Macaca fascicularis: one gene and its partners. The protein of the gene in region 3 interacts with the protein of the main gene of each other region in a biochemical or structural test. Links are inferred from orthologs where the notes say so. Each region holds a gene or a part of one and is shown on either strand. Other genes may lie near its edges. The genes, in order: RIOK1, SNRPD1, PRMT5 and COPRS.

Region 1 (7,648 bases), on a different chromosome or scaffold from region 3:
GCCAAAAGGTTAATGAAATCAGTCACAAAACAGGATGGGCCCACAGCCAAGAAACAAGCTGCTGGCACAGAATTAAACAGAATACTCATGAAAACGAAAGATCTCAACAACTCTTAGTGCCAAGCTATAAAGTTTTTCAACATCTTGGATCTGTCTTCATCAAGTTAGTGATAAAGCTGAAGAAAACCTGATGTTAGCCAAGAACCATGGATTCATACTTGATCAGACAGACCTGGGCAAAGATCTGCCACCATTCTCATTTCTCCACTAAAAGACCACATTCAAATGGTGGTGCTGGCCTGGAGTGGGGGTTCACGCCTATAATCCCAGCATTTTGGGAGACGAGGTAGGTGGATCACCTAAGGTCAGGAGTTTGAGACCGGCCTGGCCAACATGGTGAAACCCTGTCTCTACTAAAAATACAAAAATTAGCCAGGTGTGGTGGCGGGCACCTATAATCCCAGCTACTCGGGAGGCTGAGGCAGGAAAATCACTTGAACCTGGGAGGTGAAAGTTGCAGTGAGGCAAGATCGCACCACTGTGCTCCAGCCTGGGTGACAGAGCGAGACTCCATCTCAAAAAAACAAAAACAAAAAACAAAAAAGAAATGGTGGTACTTTCCGGCTGAGAAACGTTCTATTCCTAAACAGGTTTATCAAAGGAAGAATGAGTGATAGCAGCATAGGAAAGAGCTGTCATTTTGTGCTTCAAAGAAGTTATCTAGATTTCTCATAGTAAACTTTTAGAAACATCTGCATTATTTTGATGAATGAGAATCATCAACAACATATGAAATCAGATATAACTACAACCAACAAAATACTGTCCCCAGCTTTGGGCCAAGAGACCCAAATTTCACCTTTCCAAATAGAAAGTAACTGTACAACCAATAATCCATTAACCTAAAACCTGCCAAACAATCAAAAGTCAATTGTTATCAAAGTCAGCAAGCAGCCCTGCTAGTTGTCTGCCTAAGATTAGGCTCCTTCTAAGCCTTCTGATGAGGACAATAATTTCAGGCAAGGTTGGCAAGAATACGATGAGTGGCTAAACCAGCCACAGCCTTACGACCCAGAATCCAAACAAGGATACGGCCGTATCAGCGAGAGGGGTATCAAAAAAGCTTTTCCCAGGTTAGAATCTTCATGACCAACTCTTGATGTTTTACAAGTCACTTCCTCCCAGTAGCAATGTAAGAGAATGAACTGCCCCACAATCCTGCCATTGCTACATCTGGCCAAATGGCACTGATTCCAAGCTTGGAAACTGCGTGATTCAGCAAAAGATAGCGCTGAGGAGCTTGACCTCCTGAGGCAAACATACCATGTCAGAGAGTAAGACCGAAACAAACACAGGAACTGGAAGATCCTGAAGATAAACTCCCCAGAGGTGTGCAGGATTCATGTCTGCTTTTGCTTTTTCTTTCATTGTGCTAACTGTAGACTATTTCACAGGGATTATTTCTGTGTTTCATTGAAATTATATTTCACATGTTGAACTTTAAAGTCAAAATAAACACAATAAAGAGCTCAAATGATTTCCCCCAATAACCCAGTCAAATAAGCAGGACTGAACTTCAGTTTCAGTGAAAACTAGGGGTTGGTTTTTGGAAATTATTTCTAAATGCAATGACTACAATAGTCACTTCTAACATAAAATGTACCATTAAAAAAACTATATGGTAATTTCTTTTAGTATCTGTGCTATGTTGCAGTGTAAGATTTTATCTCACCCTCCTACCCTCCCCAACCCTGCTCCCACCCACAGTCTTTCCCATCACAGTAAGTGGCAGCTCCAGTCATCTCACTGGCTGCTCAGGTCAGAAACCCTGAAGTCACCCTTCACTCCTCGCAATCTCATCTCTTCCCTTAGAACGTGCAACCGCTTCTCTCATGTCAGCCACCATCCTATACCAAGCCATCAGTGTCTCTTGCTTGGGTTTACTTCAATGAACATACCCACGGGTCTCCTACCCTTGCTTCCTGGTCGATTCTCCACAGAGGCCAGAGTAATCCTTTTAAAACAGAAGTCAGATCGTATCACTCCCTGCCAAAACCCTCCCACAGCCATACACTATCTGATTGCATCGACTACTTTCTCCCTTGATGATGATGTCTCAGCTCTGTTTCTGGAAGTTGTCACGTACACTCCTGCCTCAGGGCTTTGCAACTGCTGGTTGCTCTGCCTGGCATGTTCTTCCTTCCTGTTATGCACACGATTCACCTTCTTCAAGTATTTGCTCAAGTATCGGCCCGCAGTAAGGCCTTTCCAGGAACCCTATTTTAAACTGCAAACTCCTGCAAAATAGGCGCCCTCTCATCTCTGCATTATTTCTCTCCATATAATTTATCATCTGCTGATACACCACTTTTTACTTATTTTGGTTAATGTCTTATCTTCCTATCAAAATGTAAACTACTCAAAGGTAGTAATTTTTGCCTAGTTTGTTTTCTGCTGTATCCCCAGCAACTAAAATACTCAAATTTTTGATGAATGAATGAATATGCCAAATGATTGAATGTAAAAAACTTGATGAACTGAGAGGTCCTAGCTCCAAAAAGAACATTAAAGATGAAGTGTAAGAGCATTACAAATGATCACCAATATACACAAGAGCAGAGTTGCAGTGAATGATTAAATCAACAGCCAGCTGAATTGTGAGTGAAATTCCCTTTACATAAACATGGCCTTATAATCAGATGACCTCAGATGGGTCTCTGGTGTGTACAAAGAAAGCAAAACCAATTTTCCCATGAGTGCCTCTGGACACTCACGTAAGAGTTATAGATATTGACATTTAAATATTTATCATGCTTCTGAAAACATATTTGTAAGAGAAAAACATATAAAAATAAAAATGTACAAAGTTCTTTATTAAAATAATAGCTTAAATAAATCCTCTGTCAACACCAGAGTCAGGGACTGGATCTAGACTCTAGAGCTTAGAGTTTTTTACATAATTACATGAAAACACTGAATCCGTCTTCACAGACAGACATGATGACAATTTGGTTAAAATCAATAAGCCATCTTCCAGACGCAGCTTAGAGTTCAGGCGAGAAAAGTAACTGATGACAATGACTGTACATAATATGGTTCTCGTTCTATTTGCCTTTTTTCGTCTTGGCTGTCTTCTCCTTTCTTTTTTTCACATGTTTAGGAATTTTGTTTTTTCTTTTCTCTCTCTGGGCTTCCTTGACCATCTTTTTTCTTTCCTGTAAAAAGCAAACAAAAAAGCCAAATTTCATTCATTTGGAGTATGCATTTTTTTTGTTTTTTGTTTTTTTGTTTTTTAGACAGGGTCTTGCTCTGTCGCCCAGGCTGGAGTGCAATGGTATGATCATGGTTCACTTCAGCCTCCACCTCCTGGGCTCAAGCAATCCTCCCACCTCAGCCTCCTGGGTAGCTGGGACAACAGGCGCACACCACCACACCTGGCTAGGTTTTTTTGGGTATTTTTTGGTAGAGATGGGGCTTCACCAGATTGCTCAGGCTGGTCTCAAACTCCTGGGCTCAAGTGATCCATCCACCTCAATCTCCAAAAATGCTGAGATTACAGGCATGAGCCACTGCACCCACCTGCAGTATTCTTCTTATTATTATAACTAAATAAAATATACACACAGAAGAATAAAAGTGAGTGTAATGTAAAACAAAGAAAAGAAAATGATTATGGGTTGGTGGAGAACTTGGGGTGAAAATTGTCTTTGAGCTTGTTCTTTTTAGAGACAGGGACTCACTCTGTCACCCAGGCGGGAGGGCAGTAGCAGGATCATTGTGCACTGCAGCCTCAAGCTCCTGGGCTCAAGCAACCCTCTTGCCTCAACCTCCCTAGTAGCTGAGACTACAAGCATGAGCCACCATAACTGGCCTTGAGCTTCCTTAATAGAAATGTGAAGACAGCCAAACAGAAATATCCCTAAGAATGTTATTAAATGTTTGCAAATACTTTTCTTTACAAGTTCCATATTCTAACAGAAACAGACATTGGAAAGAGACAAAATATGTATTTCTAGTAGACATACGAGAAAATATGCTAGCAGCTGAGTATGTCCCTCAGAAGTCTTGGGACCCACATTGTATATGGTTTAAAGGATTAGACTAAGATGGAATAATAATAGTTACATAGCATTCAGTCAGCAGTGTCTCTTATGTCTATGGCTAGCAATTAAAGAAATACAAGAGTCCCTTCTTATCCATGGGGGATATATGTTCCAAGACCCCCAGTGGATGCTTAAAACAGTGGATAGTGCCAAACCCTATATATACTATGTTTCTTCCTATATATACATACCTATGATGAGGTTTAATTTATAAATTAGGCACAGTAAGAGATAATAACTAATAATAGAATAGTAACAATATACTATAATAAAAGTTATTTGAATGTGGTCTTTCTCATTCTCAACATATCCCACAGTATCATACTCATGTGACAGTAGCTTATTCATTGGCAGATGCAGCCTCTCTGGTAATTTTTCTGTTTTTTAGTCCAAACCTATTCCTGAATCTGTTTAACTGTTCCTTACAGTAAATGGCCTGGTGTCACTCATTTCAGGGGAACTCTTGCTGAAACCTTTGAAACCTTCGTATAGGCTCAATGCTTTCCGGTGCAACATGGTGTGGTCAACTGGAAGATGTTTTTGTTTACATCTTTCACCCACAAATGTAATGCCTTTTCCATCTTAACTAAGCACTTATCACATACTATGGCCCTAACTTTTGCAGTTTGGGGTGAGATAGCAAAACCAGCAAAAACATCTTTTTCCTTCTCCACAGTGTCACGGATAAAAGATTCTCATCATAGATCTCAGCAACTTCAGCATATGATTCTTTTCCTTTTCTTATTTATTTTTTTGAGACAGAATCTCACTCTGTCACCCAGGCTGGTGTGCAGTGGCATGATCAGCTCACTAGAACCTCAAACTTCTGGGCTCAAGGGATCCTCTTGCCTTAACCTCCCAAGTATCTGGGACCACAGGTGCTCATCACCAATGTTTTAACAGACAGGGTATCACTCTGTTGCCCAGACTGGTCTGGAGTGATCTGCCCTCCTTGGCCTCCGAAAGTGCTAGGATTACAGGCATGAGTTCCTTGCTAAGTCAAGAATGGTCACCTTTCCACTTAAAGGAAGACCTTTATGGCTTCTCTAAAGCACACCTGAACTTCCAACATCACTACTCTTGTAATTTATGGACATTATTAAGCAAAGTAAGGGTTACTTGCACACAAGCACCACAACATCACAGCAGCTGAACCGATAGCCAAGAAGACTACTAAATGACTAATGGGTGGGGAGTGTCGACAGTGTGAAGACGCTGGACCACGTGGTGATTCACATCCCAGGCAGGATGGAGGAGGACAGCATGAATTTCATCACACTACTTAGGACAGTGAGCAATTCAAAACTTATAAATTGTTTATTTCCGGAATTTTCCATTTAATATTTGCAAACCAAGGCTGACTGCTGGGAACTGAAACAGTAGAAAGTGAAAGCATGGAAGCGGGGACTATTATACAGTCTTTCAGATTCCAGAAACATCAAGCTGGGCTATAAGTCCCCCTGAAATGGCTCTTCAGTATTTACCCTGAGTCAACTCTAACATCACTTGTACTTCATACGAAATGTACGGAATTTAGTGCGTGCTCTCTCTAGGCAATGCCCAAGGTGCTCCGATGAGCAGTCCAATCTTGAGATAACGTTACCACCAAAAGTCAAGTTCACACTTAGGTATTAAAACTGTAATTAGAGGTACTTATCAATAATGTTTTCAGCCATCACAATCTAGCTAGATCCTTGAGCAAAGAGAAACAAGAGCCGCTGTGCTCCCACACTAAAGAAAAGGGGAATGTATCTCATTGCTTACTTTTTTATCAACGTCAGGGCCCGTGGTGTGTTTCTTGGGGCGGGCATGGTCTCCCTGCTCTTCAGAGTCTGTGTCAGAGCACTCAGAGCTTCCAGTATCTTCTGAATCAGAACAAGTCCTTTCCTCCACTTGATTTTCTAGGAGTGCAGGGACCTTGAAATTATTAAAGAACCATGTTATTCTAAACCATGTAATTCTAAACAACACATAAACCAAGTTATGTGTTGTTGCTAAATGTGTTAATGCCAGAATTCAGATTTTAGGCTCGCAAATACATGTTAAAAACTAACATCCTGTACTGAAACATTAAAACACCAGAATGAACATCAGGAGGGAAATATGAAAGTAGCCACTCCAAGTAAGGCTCAAGAACATACCCAAATGAAGGAACCAGGGTTTTACTGCGTGACCTAGACCAACGACAAAACCGTTCTGCTTCTTTCAGCTGATCAGGGGCATTTAGTTGGGACTGGGAAGGAGGCGAAATATACATAGAGGTAGAAAATAAAGATTTATACGGATAACTTCACAGCTGTTTTCCTGTGAACCACATTTCTAGCAATAAACTAATCAAATTGAGAGGGAAAACAATATTCAAAGAAGAGAAATTTTCACTACTTCCTGAAATTTAGCAGTTGTCTAATACAGTGCTTCCCAGCAGTTTTTAAGAGTGAGGTTTCCTTTTTATAAGGAAAAAAACAGATCTTTAGAAGTCAATTGTACAAGATTTTCTAGCTTGCTGCAATAAAATCTTCATGCTCTGGAATCCAAAGCATAACTTCCTTATGACACCTGTTATTATAACTCAGAAATGCAAAATACCAGAATTCCCCTAATTCAATTCTTTCCACAGAAAAGACATGATTTTAAGAAAGCAAACTGTGATCCTTTAAGTCTTCAATTAGGAAGATTTGAAGAAATAAAGACTGCTTTTATGACTGCCTAAGTTAGAATTACTTAATCCCTGTCCTTCTAAAATGTAAAACAAAACAAGATTGTTTTAAGAAAAAAGAACATTACAGGAATCCAGCACAGCAGGATTGCTGAACTCATGAGATTGTTCTTTAACAAGTAATATCCTGGTAGGAGACCACATTCCACAGTTTTCCTAAGCTGGTTGTAAAAACCATCAAGAAGCACAATGGCTATCATTAATAACTCCACAAATGACAACTAGAATACAAAAAGATAAATACCTCACCTGCAATTACAGAACAATTCAGAGACAGAAAAATAATTTCCAAATTTCAGTGCTATGTTTAGAAAGAACATAAAAATGGCATTTCTGAAGATGTCCACAGACTTTGAAAGCAACTATAAAATTTTAACAATATAAAATAGCATTAATTTAGTTCTAATAATATTAAATAATAAAAACAAATAATATGACTAGAGTTTTATATCCTTTATAAGTGTTTTCACATAAACGAACAGTAATACATGTTCTTCATACCTTCTGAACTCCTGACAAATCTTTCTTCAATCCAGTGACAGTTTGGTATAGAATCTTATAACCAAAAGGAAAAAAAAATAAGGATCAACATAAAACTAGACAATGAAATATGCATATTGTACTACTAAGAACAATGTGGGTTAAATAACATCTCCTATGATTATACAAAGGTATCTAAAATTAATCTCACTGTAACACAGAAAGTTTATATTATTTCTGTCTACCAGATCTACTGGCCAAATCCAACCAGCCACCTCATAGTTGTTCTTTTTTTTTTTTTTGAGACAGAGTCTTGCTTTGTCGCCCAGGCTAGAGTGCAGTGACATGA
Region 2 (8,527 bases), on a different chromosome or scaffold from region 3:
CCTCTTCCTCTGCCACGGCCACGTCCTCTTCCTCTTCCTCTGCCTCTGCCTCTTCCTGCAACTGAAGGAAAAGAAAAACAAACCAAGCTCAATTCTCTTCTGCACAAATGTTACCGAGACACCACAAACAACATTTACACACACACCTTTCCCCGTTTATAGCTCTGTATTAGCAGCTACAGTAAATAAAAGTTTAACTAGCTTCTGTTAAATGTGTTAGACTTCAGATTCTCCCCACCCCACAACACATTATCATGCAGAACCAAGAACTAAAGGCCTAGGGAGATTATTATTTGTTTCATTTCAATTTATTTACTAAGAAATGTGTCAAACTTAAAAAAATAATTTTTCTTTATATCATGTCTCAAATTCACCATAAAATGATTTGAATCTCACAAAAAAAGGAAGATACATATCATAGAATAGAACACGATCACCTTGATGCCAGAGTTTTGGTAACTGAATAAAATCCAAGCAAGTTAATTCAAAACCAGGGAAGTTTAAATCTATTACATCAAATCACAATCTTATTAACTCTTCAGAAAATTGAAACTATTTTGACCTACACATAATCTAGTGCTTTAATCCATATAGCAATATCCCTGTCACTGGGTCATCCTAACTCTAGTTGAGTATCATGGTGACAGGGAATTTATCACCCAAATAAACTTATTTCATCTTCAGACAGCTAAGAATATTAGAAAATCCTGACACAGAAGTCAGTTACATTCTAAATGTTTTGCTTTTTTTTTTTTTTTTTTTAAATACAAGGTCTCTCTCTGTAGTCCAGCCTGCAGTGTAATCACACCTCACTGCAGTCTTGAACTCCTGGGCTCAAGTGATCCTCCCACCTAAGCCTCCTGAGTAGCGGGGACTACAGGTACAAGCCATCAGGTCTGGCTAATTTTTTAATTTTTTGTAGAGATGAGGTCTCCCTTTGTTGCCCAAGCTGCTTTCAAACTCGTGGACCAAAGCAATCCTCCAGCCTCAGTCTCCCAAAGTGGTGGGATTACAGGTGTGAGCCACCGCACCTGGCCACATTAGAAATTTGTACACGCTGATTCTAGTCTTACCATTCCAAGCAATAAACAGTGAGTTTAAGATGCTAATTAAGGGACATTCCACAAAATAACTGGCCCGTACTCTTACAAAGTGTTAAGGTCACAAAAGGAACCAGCTGATACACATTAAAAGAAACTAAGGAAACGAACAACTAAATGCAACCTGTTGTACTGGATTGGATCTTGGACCAGGAAAAGGACATTAGAGGGACAATCAGAGAAACGTGAAAAAGGTCTCTAGATAATATAATAGTGTCGCATCAATATAAAATTTCTATTTTTTGTAGTTACATGAAATTTTAACATTTAGGCAATGTTGGTGAAAGTGTATGGGAATTCCTTGTACTATTTTTGCAACTTTTTGTGTCTAAAATTATTTCAAAATGAAGTGTTAAATTGGGGGGAAAAACAGAGTTGGAGCAGTGTTGTAAAAAACAACAACAACAACAACAATAAAAGGGCTGGGGACCTGTAATCCCAGCTACTCGGGAGGCTGAGGCAGGAGAATTACTTGAATCCGGGAGGCAGAGGTTGTAGTGAGGCCTGGGCGACAGAGCATGACTCTGTCTCAAAAAAAAAAAAGAAATAAAAAGAAAAGAAAATGGACCAGGTATGATGGTGGCTCACACCTGTAATCCCAGCACTTTGAGAGGCCACAGCAGGATTGTTTGAGACCAAGAGTTCAAGACTAGCCTGGACAACACAGGGAGACCCTGTCTCTACAAAAAAATTAAAAAATTAGCCAGATTTGGTGGTGCATATCTGTATAAAAGAAAGATAAATTAAGAAAACAACTTTTTAAGAAGTGGGGAGTGGGTGGGGGGCAGGCATAAATAATTTTATTTATTTTTTTGAGACAGAGTTTCACTCTTGTTGCACAGGCTGGAGTGCAATGGCACGATCTCAGCTCACGGCATGGGCCACCGCGCCCAGCCAATTTCAGTTATTTTAAACTATATTATTTTAAATGTGTACACACAAAAACAGTAAGTCTAGGACGCATGTTAAAATGAACCAAATTGACCACACTTATCTCCAATTTCTTCTGAAATAGTATTTATGATAGAAAAGGAACAAAAACGGTAAGTACCCAGAAGAACAAAGAAAAGCAGAGAAAACATAGTAGATAAAAGATTTCGGCTGGGCGTGGTGGCTCATGCCTGTAATCCCAGCACTCTGGAAGGCTGAGGTAGGTAAATCACTTGAGGTCAGGGGTATGAGGCCAGCCTGATCAACACGATGAAACCCCGTCTCTACTAAAAATACAAAATTAGCTGGGTGCGGTGGCACACACCTATAATCCCAGCTACTTGGGAGGCTGAAACAGAAGAATCGTTAGAACCCAGGAGGCGGAGGTTGCAGTGAGCTGAAATCGCGCCACTGCACTCCAGCTTGGGTAACAAGAGTGAAACTCCATCTAAAAAAAAAAAAAAAAAAGAAAACAAAAAAATTTTTTTCAACAAAATTTTAAATCAGAAAATAGACTTGGAACTGTAACATTTAGTAAAGGAAGAATAACTTCTCAGCGTGGAGTAAGATGATACGAGGCAGGGGGCTTTCAATCATCAATTCCCTCACAGGTAGGTAGGTAGTAAAAGTAGAATAACCCTAAAGACATTAAGGCAAAAAGTCCTCAGATTTGAAAATACAGTCAGCCTTCAATATCCATGGGTTCCACATCCATGGATTTAACCAACTTTAGGCCTATGATGGTTGTCAGACTTTTTCTTGTCATTAACGCCTAAACAATACAATATAACTATCTACAAAGCATTTACATTATACTGGGTATTACAAGTGTACAAAAGGATGTGCAGAGGTTAGATGGAAACACTATTACCATTTTATGAAAAGGGACTTGAGCATCTGTAGATTTTGGTACCCACAGGGGGTTCTTGCAAAGTGGAAAGCAGCATGATACACAGCATGAGAGGTTAAATCATTGTTTTACAAGCTATGGATTACAACCATATTATTATTATTATTTTGAAACAGAGTCTCACTCTGTAGCCCAGGCCGGAGTGCAGTGGCATGATCTTGGCTCACAGCAACCTCCGCCTCCCGGGTTCAAGTGATTCTTCTGCCTCAGCCTCCCAAGTAACTGGGACTAAAGGCATGCGCCACCACGCCCAATTTTTTTTTTGCATTTTTAGTAGAGATGGGATTTCTCCATGTTGACCAGGCTGGTCTGGAACTCCTGGCCTCAGATGATCTGCCCGCCTCGGCCTCCCAAAGTGCTAGGATTACAGGCGTGAGCCACTGTGTCCAGCCGCATCAATGTTTTTAATAGCAACACCAGGAGTTATAATACACATTATAAGAAATATTAAAAAACAAAGACACTTGTGTTGTTTGCAAATATTTATATTATGAATAGTGTGGATTAGGATTAGCATTCACAAAAATTTTTATAATCCTTCAAACTTACCAGCTTCCCTTTTCTTAGATTTCACCTTAGGTTCAACATCCACAAGTAGTGTATCCAGAGGTAAACTGTCTGGTAGAATAAAATACCGAATGTTATTTCCTCGAATACTCAGCGTTTCCAGCTGTACAGGTTCTCTGTTCTTCAGGGTCATTTTCACAGCTTTAAGATGTGTATTCATGCTGACATCCACACCTAAAAAGAAAATAATTGGGCAGTTATTAGTATGATAAAAGTCAGGCAACTAATTAATCTACTGAGCCACAGTAAATACTGGACTACAAAAGAATACTGTTCTGCTACAGTGCAAGTTTTCTATGACATAATTTAGCACATATGCAACTGGTAAATGGGGGAATAACGTCAGTATAAATCAGCAGTGTTTCCTTCCTAGAGATTTTTCCTAGCACACTAAGTTTTGCTTACAGAAATGAATGCAGCAAGCAATGGAAGAACCCTGACTGGGCTTCAGGCTCACTACTGATCTGACAGGTATTTCTTGAATGTTTCTCTCACTGTCTTTGTGACTTTCTCATAATCCCCATTCCACTAAACTATCCTCACCTTTGTTTCTGCTTCTCTCTATATGTAATAATTGTTACCACTTTTGTTAAGAATATTTTGATTACAAAGTTACACAGGCTTTTAAGTAGTCTGCAACACCTATTCTTCTCATTAAGCTACTATTTTTAGTATGAGAGTTTACAAAATACAAAGCAATTTTTTAGGGTGATTATATGACATTATAGCTGAAACACCTGAATACTGAAGCCTTTACCAAATTATACCTGAACTAATGGGATAACTAAAGACCTACTTAGGCCAGGTTTGGTGGCTCACGCCTGTAATCCCAGCACTTTGGGAGGCCGAGGCGGGCGGATCAACTGAGGTCTTCTGACCAGCCCGGTCCAGTTCAAGATCAGCCTGGCTGACATGCTGAAACCTCGTCTCTACTAAAAATACAAAAATTAGGCCAGTGCAGTGACTTGACTCACGCCTGAAATCCCAGCACTCTGGGAGGCCGAGGCGGATGGATCATGAGGTCACAAGTTCGAGACCAAAACCCCATCTCTACCAAAATTAATCAGACCCTGGAGGCGGAGGTTGCAGTGAGCTGAGACTGTGCCACTGCACTCCAGCCTGGGCAACAGAGTGAGAATCCGTCTCAAAAAAAAAAAAAATGTACCCAGGCATGCTGGCAGGCACCTGTAGTCCCAGCCACTCGGGAGGCTGAGACAAAAGAATTGCTTGACCCCAGGCAGCGGAGGTTACAGTGAGCCGAGATCATGACACTGCACTCAAGCCCAGGTGACACAGCAAAACTCTGTTTAAAAAAAAAAATAGGCCGGGCGCGGTGGCTCACGCCTGTAATCCCAGCACTTTGGGAGGCCGAGGCGGGCGGATCACAAGGTCAGGAGATCGAGACCACGGTGAAACCCCGTCTCTACTAAAAATACAAAAAATTAGCCGGGCGCGGTTGTGGGCGCCTGTAGTCCCAGCTACTCAGGAGGCTGAGGCAGGAGAATGGCGTGAACCCGGGAGGCGGAGCTTGCAGTGAGCCAAGATCGCGCCACTGCACTCCAGCCTGGGCGACAGAGCGAGACTCCGTCTCAAAAAAAAATAAATAAATAAAAAAATCAATCAATCAATCAATTACATAATTCAGACAAAAGAATAAGAATCTGTACTACAATAACGTTCATTAAGCAATCAAAAAATAAACTCTGGATAGCAGGTAAAAGAGAAGAAAAAAATGTTATAAAAGTAGTCCAACCTCCGTACCTGTGATTGTTCCATGGACCTGTGTTCCGTTCTTCAATTCAATGGTTACAGTTTCATGACTCAATTTCATCAAAAATCTATAAATAGGAATAAAACCATTAATTTTTACCTGCAACACTTTAAAATCACATTTATTAAGGTAAAAAGATGAAACAACTAGACGCTGAAAATTTGTAGATGCTATCTGCATCAATTCCTATCAAGAATATGCTAACAATTTCAGCTTTCCTGAATCATATCCTCAACCTTTATGAAGGAACACAACAATACTAAAATGAACTGTCATTTGGACGTTTCTAATTCTCAAACCTCAAATCCAGACATACAAGATCTCAGACTCATAAATCATGAAAAATAAATAAAGAATTACAGTTGGTAAAAAGATTACAAGTTTATTACAATATTTATACATAAAGTAAAAATCTCCCTTCCTAACCCCCTGCACTGTGGGTATGTAGGAATATTATTCCAGATCATTTTATATGCACATTCATAAGCATATATACAGATTTCTTTTTACATAAATTGGGTCATATTTTATTCACATCTGTAACTTGTAGTTCTCGTTCAGCAGTTTATATTGGACATATTCCCATTTCAACATACAAAACACTCTAAGAACTGAGACTGGGTACAGTGGCTCATGCCTGTAATCCCAGCGCTTAGGGAGACCGAGGTGGGCAGATCATCTGAGGTCTGGAGTCCAAGACCAGCCTGGCCAACATGGTGAAACCCCATCTCTATAAAAACACAAAGATCAGCTGGGCAGGATGGCATGCGCCTGTAATCCCAGCTACTCAGGAAGCTGAGGCAGGAGAATTGCTTAAACCTGGGAGGCAGAGGCTGCAGTGAGCTGAGATCGCACCACTGCACTCCAGCCTGGGGAGAGAGCAAGACTCCATCTCAAAAAAAAAAAAAAAAAAAAAAAATTAGCTAGGCATGATGGAGCACGCCTGTAATCCCAGCTACTTGGAACTCCGGAGGCAGAGGCTACAGTGAGTGAGATTGTTCCACTGCACTCCAGCCTGAGCGACAGAGCAAGACTCCATCTCAAAAAAAAGCCAAAATAACAAAATAGGCCGGGCGCGGTGGCTCACGCCTGTAATCCCACCACTTTGGGAGGCCGAGGCGGGCGGATCACAAGGTCAGGAGATCGAGACCACGGTGAAACCCCGTCTCTACTAAAAATACAAAAAATTAGCCGGGCGCGGTTGTGGGCGCCTGTAGTCCCAGCTACTCGGGAGGCTGAGGCAGGAGAATGGCGTGAACCCGGGAGGCGGAGCTTGCAGTGAGCCGAGATCGCGCCACTGCACTCCAGCCTGGGCGAAAGAGCGAGACTCCGTCTCAAAAAAATAAAAAAATAACAAAATAACAAAATAACATTCTAAGAACTGAAAAGTATTCCACTATATGGAAATGTCAAAATTTATTACCTCCCTGTTGATGGACATTACTTTGGTTCAATTTTTTCCCATTACAAACCCAATTATGCAAACCCTCACCAACACAAGTTGCTGTTAAGTCTTTCAAATTTTTGTGAATTTGATGGCGGGGGGAATTTGTTTTTCCTTAATTACTTGTGAGACTGAATATCTTTTCATTAATATGGGAAAATTATTTCTTCCGTGAATTACCTGTTCACATTATTTACATATTCTCAATTAGGTTGAGTTTTTCTTTTATTTTCTACTTGTTTGCCAGTCATTCAAGTTTGTGGTTTATGGTTTCTTTAGTCACACAAACTTTTTTCACTTTTATGTTTTGAATCTGTTCATCTTCCTGGGATACATAATTTGCCTAGGAAAGGGTTTTTTCTATGCCAAGATTGTAAAAGATAGTATCTTATTTTCTTCTACTTTTAGAGTTTTAATCTACTTGGAATTGATCTTTTTTTATGCAGTGTAAGGCACAAATCTGTCTTTATTACTTTCCCCAACTGAATAGCCAGTTGCCTTGATAATATATAATGAACAAACTATCCACTTCTTACTTCATCTAGATTTCTGTTCTCCCCTTTTTATAACATTTTGCAGAGGAAGAAAAGTTGAAGGGTTTACAAATATTGTCAATTGCCAGTGCAGAGGTTAATGCCTGTAATTTCACCACTTTGAGAGGCCAAGGTGGGATGACTGCTTGAGGCCAGGAGTTCGAGACCTGCCTGGTCAACAGAGCAAGATCCTGTCTCTACAAAAATAAAAACAAAAAAATTTAGTTGGTCGGGCACGGTAGCTCATGCCTGTAACCCCAGCACTTTGGGAGGCCGAGGTAGGTGGATCATGAGGTCAGGAGTTGGAGACCAGCTTGGCCAATATGGTGAAACCCCATTTCTGCTAAAAATACAAAAAATTAGCCGGGTGTGGTGGTGCAGGGCTGTAATCCCAGCTACTCAGGAGGCTGAGGCAGGAGTATCACTTGAACTTGGGAGGCAGAGGTTGCAGTGAGCCAAGATCGTGCCATTGTGCTACAGACTGGTTGACAGAGCAAGACTCCATCACAAAAAAAAATAAAAATAAAAAAATTAGCTGAGCATGTTGGTTCATGCCTGTAGTCCCAGTTCCTTGGAATCTGAGGTGGGAGGATCACTTGAGCCCAGACTTCGAGGTTGCAACAAGCCATGATTGTGTTACTGCCCTGGAGCCTATGTGGCAGGGAAAGACTCTGTCTTTTAAAAAAATTCTATTTTTTTTTTTTTTGAGACAGTCTCACTCTGTCGGTGAGGCTGGAGCACAGTGGCATGATCTTGGTTCACTGCAACCTCCGCCTCTTGGGTTCAAGCAATTCTGCCTCAGCCTCCGAAGTAGCTGGGACTACAAGCACCTGCCACCACACCTGGATGATTTTTGCATTTTTAGTAGAGACAGGGTTTCACCATGTTGGGCTGGTCTCGAACTTCTGACCTCAGGTGATCTCCCCACCTCAGCCTCCCAAAGTGCTGGGATTATAGGCGTAAACCATGGGGCCTGGCCCTTTTTTTTTTTTTTTTAAGACAAGAGTCTTAGCCAGGTGCAGTTGCTCATGCCTGTAATCCCAGCACTTTGGGAGGCCGAGGCAGGCGGATCACCTGAGGTCAGGAGTTCACAAGCCTGGTTAACATGGCGAAAACCCGTCTCTACTAAAAATACAAAAATATTAGCCAGACTTGGTGGCACATTACTGTAATCCCAGCTACTGGGGAAGCTGAGGCAGGAGAATTGCTCGAGCCCAGGAGGCGGAGGTTGCAGTGAGTCAAGATTGTGCCACTAAACTCTAGCCTGGACGA
Region 3 (8,165 bases):
GGCGATGGCGGTCGGGGGTGCTGGTGGGAGCCGCGTGTCCAGCGGGAGGGACCTGAATTGCGTCCCCGAAATAGCTGACACACTAGGGGCTGTGGCCAAGCAGGGGTGAGGGCCGGACCTCCACGAGCGGAATGCGGGGTCTGAACTCGGGGACGGAGAAGGGCAGACTAGTCATCCCGGAGAAACTGGGGTGAGGGGGTCGGCTAAGATGAGAAGGGGAGAGACTATTACTCTTTGGAGGGGAGAAGCCTCGGACCCAGTAACGTGAGGAAGAGAACTTGTGGGGGGCCTGTGGTCACTGAGTCCCAAAGTTGGGAGAGTTGTTGAGTAAACTCTAAAGGGCTCTGGAGGTCGCGATTATTGTCTGGGAGTGGGAGGAGGTGTTAGGGGGCAAGGGAGAGAAGAGGCTAATCTTGACAGGGGAGGCACGGGCAGAACTGGGGCAAATCTGGATGTGATGGTCTTCGAAACATAGTGACACCTGAGGAGAAAAAAATTCTACTTGTGGATTTCCATCGTTTTCTCCTTACTCATATTTCCCATGGCTGTGTTTTGGGGAGAAACTGAGGCACAGTACAGCAGAGATATCCCCCAAGGTGGTCTGAACTCAGCAGCCTAGTAGGGTGAACTGATGGCAGCTGAAAGGGCTGTGCAAAATCAAAATAGCCTAAATCCAGTTGCTTGGCTTTCTGGCACTGCTGCTCTCTTTACATGATTCTGGGTCTGTCGCGGTTGTAGGTTTGATTTCCTCTGCATGCCTGTCTTCCATCCGCGTTTCAAGAGGGAGTTCATTCAGGAACCTGCTAAGAATCGGCCCGGCCCCCAGACACGATCAGACCTACTGCTGTCAGGAAGGGGTAGGGACCATCCCATATGCCCCTTAATTATTAGAGGCAATAACAACTTCTGCTTTATCGGGGCCCCGATTCTTCTCCTTTTCTGACTTGGATATATTTGTTAGTCCCTGGGATATAGATAACTTGTTTTCTCCTTGCTTCTCTATTCTGCATCAGGCTATCCCATGTCTATGTAGAAAAAACCTTTGTCTCTCATTTCTACTCTTGATTCCCAAAACTAAAAATTGAACAAGTAAAGTGCTGAACCTTATTCAGTATTTGTCTCTCTTGGGTGGGGGAGTGCAGACTGGAATACGCTAATTGTGGGAAAGCTTTCTCCATGGATTCGTCCAGACTCAAAAGTGGAGAAGATTCGCAGGAACTCCGAGGCGGTAAGACTCTTTGACTTCTATGCTGGATCTTTCTAACCAAGCTGGGTAGGGAGAGTGGTCCCCTCCCACCCCCAATAACTTGGTAAATCAACTGATACAATGAAATTAAAGCTATTAGGCTGGACCCCATGGTGCACACCTATGATCCTATCACTTTGGGAGGCTGAGGTTGTAGGATCACTGGAGCTCAGGAGTTTGAGACCAGCCTGGGCAGCATAGTGAAACCCCATCTCTATAAAATATACAAAAATTAGCCAGGCATGGTGGCACATTCCTGTGGTCCCAGCTACTCAGGAGGCTGAGGTGGGAGGATCAGTTGAGCTTGGGAAGGTTGAGGCTGCAGATGAGTGGAGATTGTGCCACTGTACTCCAGCCTGGGTGACAGAGTGAGACTTTGTCTCAAAAAAAAAAAAAAAAAAGAAAAGAAAAGAAAAGAAAGCTATTTGCTTGTTAGCTCAACCTTTTCCTCTTCATCTCCATTCCAGGCCATGTTACAGGAGCTGAATTTTGGTGCATATTTGGGTCTTCCAGCTTTCCTGCTGCCCCTTAATCAGGAAGATAACACCAACCTGGCCAGAGTTTTGACCAACCACATCCACACTGGCCATCACTCTTCTATGGTATAGCTGAGGGGCTCCTTTCCTGCTGCATATCATAGTAGTCAGATTGTGCTAAGTACCTTCTTGTGCCTAGCCATTCAGTGAAGGGTGTGTTTGGCAGAATTGAAGTATCAGTATTGCCGGGCACAGTGGCTCATGCCTGTAATCCCAGCACTTTGGGAGGCTGAGGTGGGCAGATCGCTGAGCTCAGAAGTTCGAGACCAGCTTGGGAAGCCTGGTGAAACCCTGTCTCTACAAAAACCAAAACCAAAACAAAAAAACACAGATTAGCTAGGTGTGGTGTCACACGCCTGTAGTCCCAGCTACTTGGGAAGCTGAGGTGGGAGAATGACTTGAACCTGTGAGACGGAGGTTGCAGTTAGCTGAGATTGCACCACTGCACTCCAGCCTGGGTGACAGAGCCAGACCTTGTCTCAAAAAAAAGGTCAATATTGCGCACCTCTCCATCTAAAAGTGGTATGAAGAGAGTTTCAAAACATGCAAATGTAATTATTTCGGAAACTTACGTAAGATAAGGCAGATATTTACATAAGGATCTATACATAAGGTACATGTTCACTTACAAAATCACAAATTGGGAAAAGCATATAAAGGGATTAGCGAGGTCTGAATGAAGTTTTTGATTGAGGGAAACTTTCTGGACCGAGTGAGTTCAAAAGGGTGTTCTAAAAGGGTGACTGTTCATGTGCAGTTCTGGATGCGGGTACCCTTGGTGGCACCAGAGGACCTGAGAGATGATATAATTGAGAATGCACCAACTACACACACAGAGGAGTACAGTGGGGAGGAGAAAACATGGATGTGGTATGTCTCCCTTTGCTGCTGTGATAGGGTGAGGGGAAGTACAGGGTGAAACCTATAGGGAGGTCTCCTTGAGCTATGGTGATTGGTCGGCCGTATCTAGTTGACTGTACTTTTCTGTATTTGACTCTGAACAGGTGGCACAACTTCCGGACTTTGTGTGACTATAGTAAGAGGATTGCAGTGGGTGAGTCCATGAGAATCCTGGGTTGGGTGTTGCTTCTCTGACCTCCTGTGAATAAGATTCAGGAATTTTGTATATAGTATACAATTTTACTACTTACCCTCTGTCTCAGACTGCCTTTCTCTTAAAGAGGTAAACAGATTTTTCACAAAGGAGCAAGGAAGGGTTTCTTGCCTGGCAGTGGTTGACAGTTTTTCTTTGTCTCATGTAGCTCTTGAAATTGGGGCTGACCTCCCATCTAATCATGTCATTGATCGCTGGCTTGGGGAGCCCATCAAAGCAGCCATTCTCCCCACTAGCATCTTCCTGACCAATAAGAAGGGATTTCCTGTTCTTTCTAAGATGCACCAGAGGCTCATCTTCCGGCTCCTCAAGGTGAGTGGTAGGAGGGTTCTAAAGGTGGTCCAGCTATACATCTTGCCTTATTTACCTGTGTATGATCGTTTTTTCCTGTGAGGCTGACTCTTTTTCTTTGGTTTCTGGGGAGCAATTTCAGTGAAGTTGGGAGTCTTGAGAACAAAAAGATAAATGCCAGTAATAGCCCTAGAAACCTTTCAAAACAAACCAAACCTCATGAGAACTTTGCAGAAGGTTTCATTTAGGAAGTTACAGCAAGGATCCATGAGGCTCTTTGGGTGTTGATGATACTTTTATGGCATAAGAGGGCTTTTCTTTTCTTTTCTTTTTTTTTTTTGAGACAGAGTCTCACTCTGTCACCCATACTGGAGTGCAGCGGTGCAAACTCAGCTCACCAGAACCTCTGCCTCCCAGGCTTAAGCGATTCTCCTGAGTAGCTGGGATTATAGGTGTGCACCACTACTACCCGACTAATTTTTGTATTTTTAGTAGAGACGGGTTTTACCATGTTGGCCAGGCTGGTCTTGAACTCCTGACCTCAAATGATCCACCTGCCTCAGTCTCCCAAAGTATTGGGATTACAGGCGTGGGCCACCACACCCGGCCAAGAGGGCTTTTTACAAGTTTACTGAGGCCTCATGCTGCCTTTGTTGGTATTGGAACAGATACTAGAGAACTGTTGGTCTGGGCCAGGCACAGTGGCTCACGCCTGTAATCCTAGGACTTCGGGAGGCTGAGGCGGATGGATCATCTGAGGTCAGGAGTTTGAGACCAGCCTGGCCAACATGGTGAAACCCCGTCTCTACTAAACATACAAAAATTAGCCAAGCCTGGTGGCACGCACCTGTAGTCCCAGCTACTTGGGAGGCTGAGGCAGAAGAATTGACCCTGGGAGGTGGAGGTTGCAAGTAAGCCAAGATCACGCCATTGCACTCCAGCCTGGGCAACAGAGCGAGACTCCATCTTTAAAAAAAAAAAAAAGGAGAGCTGTTGATCTGGGCCATATTTTACACTGGGCCCCGAATCTTGGTTTGCGGGCTGTATCTGATAGTCTGACTTTTCTTACAGTTGGAGGTGCAGTTCATCATCACAGGCACCAACCACCACTCAGAGAAGGAGTTCTGCTCCTACCTTCAGTACTTGGAATACTTAAGCCAGAACCGTCCTCCACCTAATGCCTATGAACTCTTTGCCAAGGGCTATGAAGACTATCTGCAGTCCCCGCTTCAGGTGGGTCTGGAGTGCACTGAGAGTAGGAAGGTGGGGTGAAAATGTATCTTGAGAATATATGCCTCCAAATGTTACTAAAACTCAGAAAGCAGTGGAAAGTTTTTGATATTTTAGTGCATTGTCCTTTGCCAGAAACTGGCTAACTTTATCCTTTTCCTCATTCATCAGCCACTGATGGACAATCTGGAATCTCAGACATACGAAGTGTTTGAAAAGGACCCTATCAAATACTCTCAGTATCAGCAGGTACTGTGTGGTATGCAGGGTGAGGAAAGCACAGGGCTAGCATGACCTAGGGAGATTGGGATTACAACCATAGGATATTCTCTCCTCCAGGCCATCTATAAATGTCTGCTAGACCGAGTACCAGAAGAGGAGAAGGATACCAATGTCCAGTGAGTGCTTTCCCCTCAATCCCAGGGACTTGCATATCTACATCTGTATATGCCAAGTCTGCTTGACTCTTCCCTTTCTTTGTTAGGGTACTGATGGTGCTGGGAGCAGGACGGGGACCCCTGGTGAACGCTTCCCTGCGGGCAGCCAAGCAGGCTGACCGGCGGATAAAGCTGTATGCTGTGGAGAAAAACCCAAATGCCGTGGTGACGTGAGTAGCAGCCTGCTTGCTAGGAAGTTAGTCCCCATTGCCAAATTTCCTTAACATGTCTCCTCACCTTATTGTCTCTGTTTCAGGCTAGAGAACTGGCAGTTTGAAGAATGGGGAAGCCAAGTGACCGTAGTCTCATCAGACATGAGGGAATGGGTGGCTCCAGAGAAAGCAGACATCATTGTCAGCGAGCTTCTGGGCTCATTTGCTGACAATGAATTGTCGCCTGAGTGCCTGGATGGAGCCCAGCACTTCCTAAAAGGTGCACCCAGGTTGGGGTGTAGGTGGAGGGTGATGATGGATGAGACATCTACCTGGGAGGAGGGTACAGGGTTTAGGGGAAAGTGAGTTGGACCTGGGTCACATCATATGAGTTTGAGAGCTATTGCTCCACTGCCTCTGTGCCCTTAGCAAATGAAGTCGTCTCTTCAAACCTCAGTGTTCATATTTGTAAAATGAAGGGAGTGGGCCAGGTGCTGTGGGAGGCCAAGGTGGGAGGTCAGGAATTCGTGACCAACCTAGGCAACATGGCAAAACCCTGTCTCTACTAAAAATACAAAAATTAGCCAGGCGTGGTGGTGCACGCCTGTAATCCCAGCTACTCGGGAGGCCGAGGCACGAGAATCGTTTGAACCCGGGAGGAGAAGGTTACAGTGAGCCAAGATTGTGCCACTGCACTCCAGCCTGGGCAATAGAGCGAGACTCCGTCTCAAAAAAATAATAATAATGAAATAAAAAATAATGAGGGGAATGGACTCCTTGAGCTGACGTATGTACCCTGAGCTTAGCTTTCATCAGGAACTTTTATGGGACTTTGTGACCCCACAAAAGTTAAGAACTACCAGATTAGACTATCTTGGGTTCTTTCAGTTTTTATCTGTGTGACTCTGTAAATTAACCTAGAAGTGGAATCATCCGTGACAGTAGTTGGAAGGCTGGCTTAATAATGTGACAACATGCATTTGTCTCTTTCTTCCATGCCCATGCCAACGTTGGTTGGTTTTGACATGGGAGGTTTGATCCTTCTGATCCTTCAGTTAGTACAGACACACCATTTCCCTCCCTCTGGAACTAATTTGACTCTCCTGCTGTGCAGATGACGGTGTGAGCATCCCCGGAGAATATACTTCCTTCCTGGCTCCCATCTCCTCCTCCAAGCTGTACAATGAAGTCCGGGCCTGTAGGGAGAAGGACCGTGACCCTGAGGTAAAAAAACACTCTCTGGAAAGAAGTGGTACTCTTCAGTCCTCTTCTTTTTCTGTATTTGCATCAGCTATTTTCTTCTGCTGGGGATGAAGAGGCGAAGAAGTTAGGGATTGGGGAAGCACTAAAGTAAAACTTTTTTTAATCCTTGGGGAAGTAGGTATCTCCTGTCTGTCTTCCCCAACACTCTCTCTCTCTCCTTGTCTCTGACAGGCCCAGTTCGAGATGCCTTATGTGGTACGGCTGCACAACTTCCACCAGCTCTCTGCGCCCCAGCCCTGTTTCACCTTCAGCCATCCCAACAGAGGTAGATTCTTTTATGACTGTCCTCTGACTAGAGGGGTGTGGGCTTCTTCCTTCCTCCTGCTTTCTTCCCTTGCTGTCCCTAGTCTGCCTTATCTACTCTTCCCTTCCTGGGTCTTGCTCATGGTTTACCAGGTTGTCTAGAGCTTCTGGCCCCTTGTCATCCACATGATTATTTCCTGACAGATCCTATGATTGACAACAACCGCTATTGTACCTTGGAGTTTCCCGTGGAGGTGAACACAGTACTGCATGGCTTTGCAGGCTACTTTGAGACTGTGCTTTATCAGGACATCACTCTGAGTGAGTGTCTATGGCAGTGGATGGCAGAGTATGAGGGTGTGCTGCCTGGGCAGCTTATATGTACATGTGTCATTTAGATTTATGGGGGGCCCAGTACTCAATGAATGGAGATCTTTGTGTGATTAGAGAAGAGACCCTCTTCAACATAGGCTAAAGGCACAGCCATGGAGACTTCTGTTTTTTCATTATTTTGTCCATACAGGTATCCGTCCAGAGACTCACTCTCCTGGGATGTTCTCATGGTTTCCCATCCTCTTCCCTATTAAGGTAGGAACTGCTTTTAAGACTCTGTAGGTTAAGGAGTAACTTTTGCCTTTGGTGTTGTGCCTCTTTCCTTCTCCCAGGAAGATAGTTGACTATATGACTCATATTCTCCTGATTTCATATGCTCTTGGATCCCAGTGGTAGGTGTTGGGAGTATTTGGAGTGGCCTTCTGCCTGGCTTTCCCGCATCTATTCTGGCTACCCTTCTGTCCTCTACTTTGAGCAAGAGCCATCTTTTAAACACTCAAATTTGATCTTATCTCTCTCTTTCTCTCTTTTTTTTTTAAAGAGACAGTCTCGCTCTGTCACCCAGGCTGGAGTGCAGTGGTGCAATTTCGGCTCACTGCAAGCTCCGCCTCTCCAGTTCATGCCATTCTCCTGCCTCAGGCTCCCTAGTACTTGGGACTACAGGTGCCAGCCACCATGCCTGGCTAATGTTTGTGTTCTTAGTAGAGATGGGGTTTTACCGTGTTAGCCAGGATGGTCTGGATCTCCCAACCTCATGATCCACCCGCCTCAGCCTCCCAAAGTGCTGGGATTACAGGCGTGAGCCACTGCGCCTGGCCTGATCTTACCTCTTTTTTGCTTAAAACCTTTCAATGCCTTCCCATTGTCTTTAGGATAAAAGTCAAAATCTGGAACATTGCTTGTAAGACTTGATGTGATCTAGTGTTTGCTTGCCTTTGCAGCTCCTGTCCCCTTGCTTACACTGCTTCAGCCTTATGGACCTTCTTTTGGTTCTAATTGTCGATCTTCTTTCCTACCTCAGGCTTTCATGCCTCTCTTTTGCCTGCAGAGCTCTTTGCTTGTCTCTTCACACCGTTAACCTATCTTCTAGGTCTCCTTTAAACATTTCTATTGTGAGATAAACTTTCTCTGACCTCCTAGACTAGGTTAGTGTTCCCTTTCATAGTTGTTTTTCTAGCACTCTGTACATGTTCACAGCACTCACCACACTTTTGATTATTTGTTCAGTGTCTTATTGTTCAGCGTTCTGATAGGCTTCAAATAACTTTCATGAGGGTTGGGACAGTCTTGTCATGTTTATCATTTTATCTCCACACCTAC
Region 4 (7,606 bases), on a different chromosome or scaffold from region 3:
CACACCTGCGATCCCAGCACTTTGGGAGGCAGAGGTGGGTGGATCACGAGGTCAGGAGATCGAGACCATCCTGGCTAACAGGGTGAAACCCCGTCTCTACTAAAAATACAAAAAATTATTCAGGCATGGTGGCAGGTGCCTATAGTCCCAGCTACTCAGGAGGCTGAGGCAGGAGAACAGCGTGAGTCCAGGAGGCAGAGCTTGCACTGAGCCGAGGCCATGCCACTGCACTCCAGCTTGGGCAACAGAGTGAGACTCCGTCTCATAAATAAATAAATAAATAAATAAATAAATAAATAATAAATAAATAGCAAAACAGGCCTAGATTCACAACTCCTCCACGGATCACAGCAGCAACGCTGTGTGAATTTTCTTTACTTAGCTACTCATGCACATATGTTCTTCATACTATTTTTTTCTTCTCTCCCTCCCGCCCCCCTATATATATAATACCCCAACTCACAACTTCCGCCTTTACTCATAGTTTCAGCTGCCTCATAACTCCTGCTCACACATGGGCCAACACAACCTTTCAATAACATGACATTTCAGCAATTCTGCCATCCTCCTCAAACCCCTAATATCTCTTGGCTCTGTTTCTCAAGTTTACCTTTTCATGTCAGACATACTCATGGTCTCATCATCTATGACCTTGCAAGGAGGAAGAAAGGGGGATGTGGTGATATGATCTACAACTGCCCTTTTTTTTTTTTTTTTTTTTTTTTTTTTTTGAGACGGAGTCTCGCTCTGTCACCCAGGCTGGAGTGCAGTGGCCTGATCTCAGCTCACTGCAAGCTCCGCCTCCCGGGTTCATGCCATTCTCCTGCCTCAGCCTCCCGAGTAGCTGGGACCACAGGCGCCCGCCAGCTCGCCCGGCTAGTTTTTTGTATTTTTTAGTAGAGACGGGGTTTCACTGTGTTAGCCAGGATGGTCTCGATCTCCTGACCTTGTGATCCACCCGTCTCGGCCTCCCAAAGTGCTGGGATTACAGGCTTGAGCCACCGCGCCCGGCCCACAACTGCCCTTTTAACAAAGACAGCGGAAGGGGCATTTTTTTCCTCCCTACGACAGCCTTGGCCATGACTCCCCTCACCGCCAAAGCCACTGCATTCCCTCACAAGGTTCTGCCTTGTTCACACACCTTGTGGGGCCTTTGAAAATGTTTACATGGTTAAATGCTCAATTAACTGCTAAAGAGTAGACTAAAATTTCACATCTAAAAGCTTTTCTTGAGTCAGCTTCAGTAAGGAGGCAGGAAGAAACAATCCCTGAGTCCGTCAGACACAAAGGTGACTTACTCTAATGGATCCCAGACCTGCCAAGGCGTGGCCCCAGATGGTGCTATCTTCTCACACACGCAGGGCCAAAAATGGACCTCAGAGTCACATGTGCATCTAGGTCCCAGTTCTGCTGCTCACTGTGTGATCTTGAAGAGGTCAAAACATTTTTTTTTTTTTTTTTTTTTTTTTTGAGACGGAGTCTTGCCCTGTTGCCCAGGCTGGAGTGCAGTGGCATGATCATGGCTCACGGCAACCTTTGCCTCCCAGGTTCAAGCTATTCTCCTGCTTCAGTTTCCAAAATAGCTGGGATTACAGGCGTCCATCACCACACCTGGCTAATTTTTGTATTTTTAGTACAGACGGGGTTTCACCGTGTTGGCCAGGCTGGTCTCCAACTCCTGACCTCAGGTGATCCACCCGCCTCAGCCTCCCAAAGTGCTGGGATTACAGGCGTGAGCCACCACGCCCGGCCTGGTCAAAACTTTGAGTCTTGCATTCCTTATCTCTAAAATGAGGTAAAGTTGGGGGTTTTTTTGTTTTGTTTTGTTTTGCAGATGGAGTTTCACTCTTGTTGTCCAGGCTGGAGCGCAACGGCGTGATCTCGGCTCACCAAAACCTCTGCCTCCCAGATTCAAGCAATTCTCCTGCCTCAGCCTCCCAAGTAGCTGGGATTACAGGTGTGCACCATGACACCTGGCTAATTTTTGTTTAGTAGAGACAGGGTTTCTCTGTGTTGGCCAGCTAGTCTTGAACTCCTGACCTCAGGTGATCCGCCCAACTCAGCCTCCTGAAGTGCTAGGATTACAGGTGTGAGCCACCGTGCCCAGCCAAAATGAGGTAAATTTTTAAGAGACTTCACATAAGGAAGGATTAAAATATTAAATGGAAAACTGAGTTTAGTGTCAATTAAGGATTATGCAATTGCTGGTTTAACTAATTTCCCATTTAGTTTTCAGCCTAGGGAAAAGCCTGTTAACTAAGTAAATGTTCCATTTTCTACCAACAGGAAAACAATCAGCTACAAAATCACCAATGTCTCTTGGATTTCAATCCTTGGTCAACAGTGCCAGATCTACAGAAGCAAAACTAAATTTTTTTTGTTTTTTTTTGTTTTTTTTGAGACGGAGTCTCGCTCTGTCACCCAGGCTGGAGTGCAGTGGCCGGATCTCGGCTCACTGCAAGCTCCGCCTCCCGGGTTCACGCCATTCTCCTGCCTCAGCCTCCCGAGTAGCTGGGACTACAGGCGCCCGCCACCGCGCCCGGCTAGTTTTTTGTATTTTTTAGTAGAGACGGGGTTTCACCATGTTACCCAGGATGGTCTCGATCTCCTGACCTCGTGATCCGCCCGTCTCAGCCTCCCAAAGTGCTGGGATTACTGGCTTGAGCCACTGCGCCTGGCAATTTTTTTTTCTTTCACAAAGTAGTTTTAAGCCTCCAAGCGTTTCAATCTTTAAAACGTCATTCAGGGACTTTAAATGAAGGAGTGAAGGCTGGGCATAGTGTCTCACACCTGTAATCCCAGCACTTTGGGAGGCCAAGGTGGGTGGATCACTTGAGGCCAGGAATTCAAGACCAGATTGGCCAACGTGGTGAAACCCCGTCTCTACTAAAAACACAAAAAATTAGCCGGGTGTGGTGGCATGCACCTACAGTCCCAGCTACTCGGGAGGCTGAGGCACAAAAATCGCTTAAACCCAGGAGGTGGAGGTTCCAATGAGCCAAGTTTGTGCTACTGCACTCCAGCCTGGCTGACACAGTGAGACTGTCTCCATAAATAAATAAATGGGAAAAAAGCAGACGAAGCATACTAGTTTCTTTTTTTCACCTTTATTTACAAAGAACACAACTCCTCTTGACACAAACATACACATTCCAAGGAGGAGCCCATTAGTAACAACAACAGACTGGGGAGAACGACGGGGCCTTATTGAACACTGTTCAATAAAGAACTAGTCTGTGTACTGCAGACTAGGGGTCACTGAGAACGTTTTCTCAGATACCACTTTTCACCTCCAAGACAGGAAAAGAGATCTTGACGTGGAGGCCCGCCCACCTACAAGGCAGAAAGCTCCACACTCAATCTTCAGCATCGTCAAACTGTCCTGTTTCAAAGACCATCTTGGAATAATGGGGTATCAGTGGAGGCGGATGGTGCCAGCTGGGGTCATAGATCATATCTCCTTGTGGGGCACAGCACACCCAAGGTTTGAGCTCTTGAGAAATGCTCTCCTGGATGTCGTCAGCATCTGCAGGCAGTTTTAAAAGACAGATTAAGGGAAGGAAGGAGGGAAGGAAGGAAGGTAAAAATGGACAGCCACAAAGTATGCCTAGGGGACAGATCCTTGCACTTATTTTGTTTAAAAACACACACAGTTCTCCTTTCCTGAAGAATTGTAAATGCATTCATTCTGAACAGCTGAGAAGCTGTGCTTCTCAGACAAGGGTTCTTAGCAGTGGAGAGGAAGCAAACTGGATAACACAGCACTTCTATCTGCAGCTGCTCAATTCATAGCAGACATTTTTGGAGACAGTGACAGTTTTGATGTTAAAACAGTGATACATTACGAAGTCAAATGTATTTTTTTCAATATAAAAGAGGTGTCACAGAAATTGCAGACCTGTAACAGATACCAGCCTAAGCTCATAGATGTGGACCCCTGTTCCAAACTGTCTGCCTTCAGCGCTAGTCTGACAGGTGTGTCTGAGAAGGCCTGGTTCAGGACCCCCAGAGACTCTACACCTACCATATGGATTCCCTTGATCTGCTTTCAACTCCAAGTCCCAGTCCTCATTAAAAATATCACCAGGCTGTTCCTTGGGTGGACAGTTTGTCCCTTCTGACAGCTCCCAGGTATTCAGTTCTCCATCAGAGTCCTCCTCATCCATGGCAAAACCTTCCTCTTCAGAATGGGTGCCCTCACCCCGGGCAGGACTGTCATTAGGGACGCTCTGTGCTCCACGGGCTAAATTGACAAAGAGAAGATGGCCTTAGTGACAAACCAAAGAGGACCTGCTGTGTGCTCAGTCAATTTTGGGCAGACTTACTAGGAAGGTAGTAAAGCAAGTACACAGAGTCTTCTTTCGCCACCTGAGCACTTTTTAAAAAATGCTCTTCTGTGTATGTTTTTAAAAGACCTGATAACTTATTTTCTTTTTTTTTTTTTTTTTTTTGGGGGGGGGGGCGGAGTCTCGCGCTGTCGCCCAGGCTGGAGTGCAGTGGCCGGATCTCAGCTCACTGCAAGCTCCGCTTCCCGGGTTTGCGCCATTCTCCTGCCGCAGCCTCCCAAGTAGCTGGGACTACAGGCGCCCGCCACCTCGCCCGGCTAGTTTTTTGTATTTTTTAGTAGAGACGGAATTTCACTGTGTTAGCCAGGATGGTCTCGATCTCCTGACCTCGTGATCCGCCCGTCTCGGCCTCCCAAAGTGCTGGGATTACAGGCTTGAGCCACCGCGCCCGGCCAACTTATTTTCAATAAGATGTTTTGTCTTATACAAGACCATTAATTGCCAGGTCCTTTAATTTACAAAGAGAGCTAGGGACAGTTAACATTTTCAGGTGGTTTGCATGTCTGTCACTGAGGCAAAGGGCCTCTGATAAATAATACGCTTTCACAATACAAGCTTGAATTAAGATTTTGCTTTTTTTTTTTTTTTTTTTTTGAGACAGTCTCACTCTGTAGCCCAGGTTGGAGTGCAGTGGCGCCATCTCAGCTCACTGCAACCTCTACCTCCCAGGTTCACGCAATTATCTGCCTCGGCCTCCTGAGAAGCTGGAATTACAGGTGCCCGCCACCATGCCCAGTTAATTTTTTTGTATTTTTAGTAGAGATGGGGTTTCACCATCTTGGCCAGGCTGGTCTTGAACTCCTGACCTTGTGATCCATCCGCCTCAGCCTCCCAAAGTGCTGGGATTACAGACGTAAGCCACCGCGCCCGGCCGTTTTTGCTCTTTTATTCCTCCCTTCAGCCTCAAAGAGCATGTTAGAGGTGAGCACAGGGACAAAGGAGAGCAGGGGCACTGCAGACAGACCAGAGCCTGTCTAGTTACAATGGGCAGCACCTAGTGCCTCCTTCTGACAGTGGGGAGGCTGGAAGGTACATTTGCAAAAGGTCTCACAATAAGAGAGGAAAGACTGGGGAAAGATAATGGATTTCCGAGCACAGTGCTTTGGTGATGCCAGGTCCCAGGAGAGAAGGCAATCAGCCTAAAACAGCCATGCTCTTAATACTGGAACAACAGTAACAGTGATAAGCAATAAAGTGATAGTTCAGAGCAAGGGGTCTAAAGCCAGACTGCCTGGTTTCAAATCCCTGTTTTGCCAAGTACTAAACATGGGACTGGGCAGGGCGTGGTACCTCACCCCTGTAAACCTAGCACTTTGGGAGGCCGAGGCAAGCAGACTGCTTGAGCTCAGAAGTTCAAGACCAGCCTGAACAATGTGGCAAAACCTTGTCTCTACAAAAACTTCAAAAAATTTAGCTGGGTGCAGTGGCATTCACCTGTAATCCCAGCTACTCAGGAGGCTGAGGTGGGAGGATCACTTGAGCCTGGGAGGCAGAGACTGCAGTGAGCCAAGATCGTGCCATTGCACAGAGTGAGACCCTGTCTCAAACAAACAAAAAAAAAAGTGTGACTGAGCTGAAATTTACTTAACTAGTTCCATAACATAAATACAGAATTACCATATGACCCAGCAATCCCAGTCCTAAACATATACCCAAAAGAACTGAAAAGAGGTGTTCAAATAAAACAAGGATACTGACAGCAGCACTACTTACAATCACCAAAAGGGAGAAACAACACAAATGTCCATCAATGGATGAATGGGAAAACAAAATGTGGTATATGCGTATGATGGAATTATTCAGCCATAAAAAGGAATGCAGTGCTGATACATGCTATGGCATGGATGCACCTTGAAAATACGCTAAGTGGAAGAAGCCATACACAAAAGGCACATGTTGTTATGATTCCATTTACAGGCAACTCACATTTGCCTATCCAGAATAGATAAATCCACAGAGACAGAAAGCAAATTAGTGGTTGCCAAGAACTCAGGGAAGGAAGGAATGGAGAATGACTACTTGGTGAGCACAGGGTTTCCTTTTAGGGTGATGAAAAGATTCTGGAACTAGGTACTGGTGATGGTTGCACAACACTGCCATTGTGCTAAAAGGCCACTGAATTATATGCTGTAAAATGGTTAAATGGTAAATTTATGTTAGGTATCTTTTACCACAATTTTTAAATTGTTTTTATTTAACTATTCTGTGCCTCAATTTCCACATCTGTAAAATGAAGATAGGGTTGTTGTGAGAGTTACTTTAAAAGGAAAAAAAAGGGCCAGGCGTGGTGGCTCACACCTGTAATCCCAATACTTTGGGAGGCCGAGGTGGGCAGATCACCTGAGGTCAGGAGTTCGAGACCAGCCTGGCCAACACAGTGAAAGCCCCTCTCCACTAAAAATACAAAAATTAGGCTGGGCGTGGTGGCTCATGCCTGTAGTCCCAGCACTTTGGGAGGTCAAGGCAGGCAGATCACAAGGTCAGGAGATCGAGACCATCCTGAAACCCTGTCTCTACTAAAAACACAAAAAATTAGCCAGGCATGGTGGCAGGTGCCTGTGGTTCCAGCTATTCGGGAGGCTGAGGCAGGAGAATGGCATGAACCTGGGAGGCGGAGCTTGCAGTGAGCGGAGATCGCACCACTGCCTGGGAGACAGAGCGAGACTCTGTCTCAAACAATAAATAAATAAATACAAAAATTAGCCAGGCACCGTTGTGTGCGCCTGTAATCCCAGCTACTCAGGAGGCTGAGGCACGAGAATCACTTGAACCCAGGAGACAGAGGTTGCAGTGAGCCTGGGTGACAGAGTGAGACTCCATCTCAAAAAAAAAAAACAAAAAAAAAAAGAAAAAAAAAGGGGCCGCACGGCAGCTCACACCTGTAATCCCAGCACTTTGAGAGGCTGAGGCAGATGGGTCACGTGAGGTCAGGAGCTCAAGACCAGCCTGGCCAACATGGTGAAACCCCATCTCTACTAAAAATACAAAAATCAGCCGGGCATGGTGGCATATGCCTGTAATCCAGCTACTTGGGAGGCTGAGGCAGGAGAATGCTTGAATCCAGGAGGTAGAGACTGTAGTGAGCCAAGATTGTGCCACTGTGCTCCAGCCTGGGCAACAAGAGCGAAACTCCCTCTCAAAAAAAAAAAAAAAAAAAAAGGCAGGGGGCCGGGCACAGTGGCTCATGCCTGTAATCCCAGCACTTTGGGAGGCCTAGGTGGGCGGATCACTTGAGATCAGGAGTTCTAGACCAGCCTGGA

The links.
Region 1: the proteins of PRMT5 (region 3) and RIOK1 are reported together in a solved structure, tested with the Homo sapiens proteins (2 studies listed by BioGRID, with this or other methods). The link is inferred for Macaca fascicularis from reciprocal best matches to the Homo sapiens genes PRMT5 and RIOK1.
Region 2: the proteins of PRMT5 (region 3) and SNRPD1 form a complex in vitro, tested with the Homo sapiens proteins (2 studies listed by BioGRID, with this or other methods). The link is inferred for Macaca fascicularis from reciprocal best matches to the Homo sapiens genes PRMT5 and SNRPD1.
Region 4: the proteins of PRMT5 (region 3) and COPRS form a complex in vitro, tested with the Homo sapiens proteins (3 studies listed by BioGRID, with this or other methods). The link is inferred for Macaca fascicularis from reciprocal best matches to the Homo sapiens genes PRMT5 and COPRS.

What each region holds. Positions count from the first base shown.
Region 1 is NC_088378.1:165,586,075-165,593,722, forward strand, and holds the end of RIOK1 (serine/threonine-protein kinase RIO1), read right to left. Parts: intron 7,375-7,648; coding exon 7,321-7,374; intron 6,021-7,320; coding exon 5,868-6,020; intron 3,216-5,867; coding exon 3,105-3,215; 3' UTR 2,853-3,104; downstream 1-2,852. UniProt on the Homo sapiens protein: Involved in the final steps of cytoplasmic maturation of the 40S ribosomal subunit. Involved in processing of 18S-E pre-rRNA to the mature 18S rRNA. Required for the recycling of NOB1 and PNO1 from the late 40S precursor.
Region 2 is NC_088392.1:68,134,558-68,143,084, forward strand, and holds part of SNRPD1 (small nuclear ribonucleoprotein Sm D1), read right to left. Parts: intron 5,346-8,527; coding exon 5,269-5,345; intron 3,682-5,268; coding exon 3,490-3,681; intron 62-3,489; coding exon 1-61. UniProt on the Homo sapiens protein: Plays a role in pre-mRNA splicing as a core component of the spliceosomal U1, U2, U4 and U5 small nuclear ribonucleoproteins (snRNPs), the building blocks of the spliceosome.
Region 3 is NC_088381.1:90,668,490-90,676,654, reverse strand, and holds part of PRMT5 (protein arginine N-methyltransferase 5), read left to right. Parts: coding exon 1-105; exon of another isoform or gene 106-131; coding exon of another isoform or gene 132-190; intron 191-738; coding exon 739-857; intron 858-1,142; coding exon 1,143-1,228; intron 1,229-1,713; coding exon 1,714-1,848; intron 1,849-2,539; coding exon 2,540-2,652; intron 2,653-2,786; coding exon 2,787-2,836; intron 2,837-3,044; coding exon 3,045-3,208; intron 3,209-4,258; coding exon 4,259-4,420; intron 4,421-4,588; coding exon 4,589-4,666; intron 4,667-4,756; coding exon 4,757-4,815; intron 4,816-4,901; coding exon 4,902-5,024; intron 5,025-5,110; coding exon 5,111-5,286; intron 5,287-6,120; coding exon 6,121-6,230; intron 6,231-6,440; coding exon 6,441-6,534; intron 6,535-6,716; coding exon 6,717-6,833; intron 6,834-7,035; coding exon 7,036-7,100; intron 7,101-8,165. UniProt on the Homo sapiens protein: Arginine methyltransferase that can both catalyze the formation of omega-N monomethylarginine (MMA) and symmetrical dimethylarginine (sDMA), with a preference for the formation of MMA.
Region 4 is NC_088390.1:38,089,074-38,096,679, forward strand, and holds the end of COPRS (coordinator of PRMT5 and differentiation stimulator), read right to left. Parts: intron 4,244-7,606; coding exon 4,025-4,243; intron 3,527-4,024; coding exon 3,357-3,526; 3' UTR 3,092-3,356; downstream 1-3,091. UniProt on the Homo sapiens protein: Histone-binding protein required for histone H4 methyltransferase activity of PRMT5.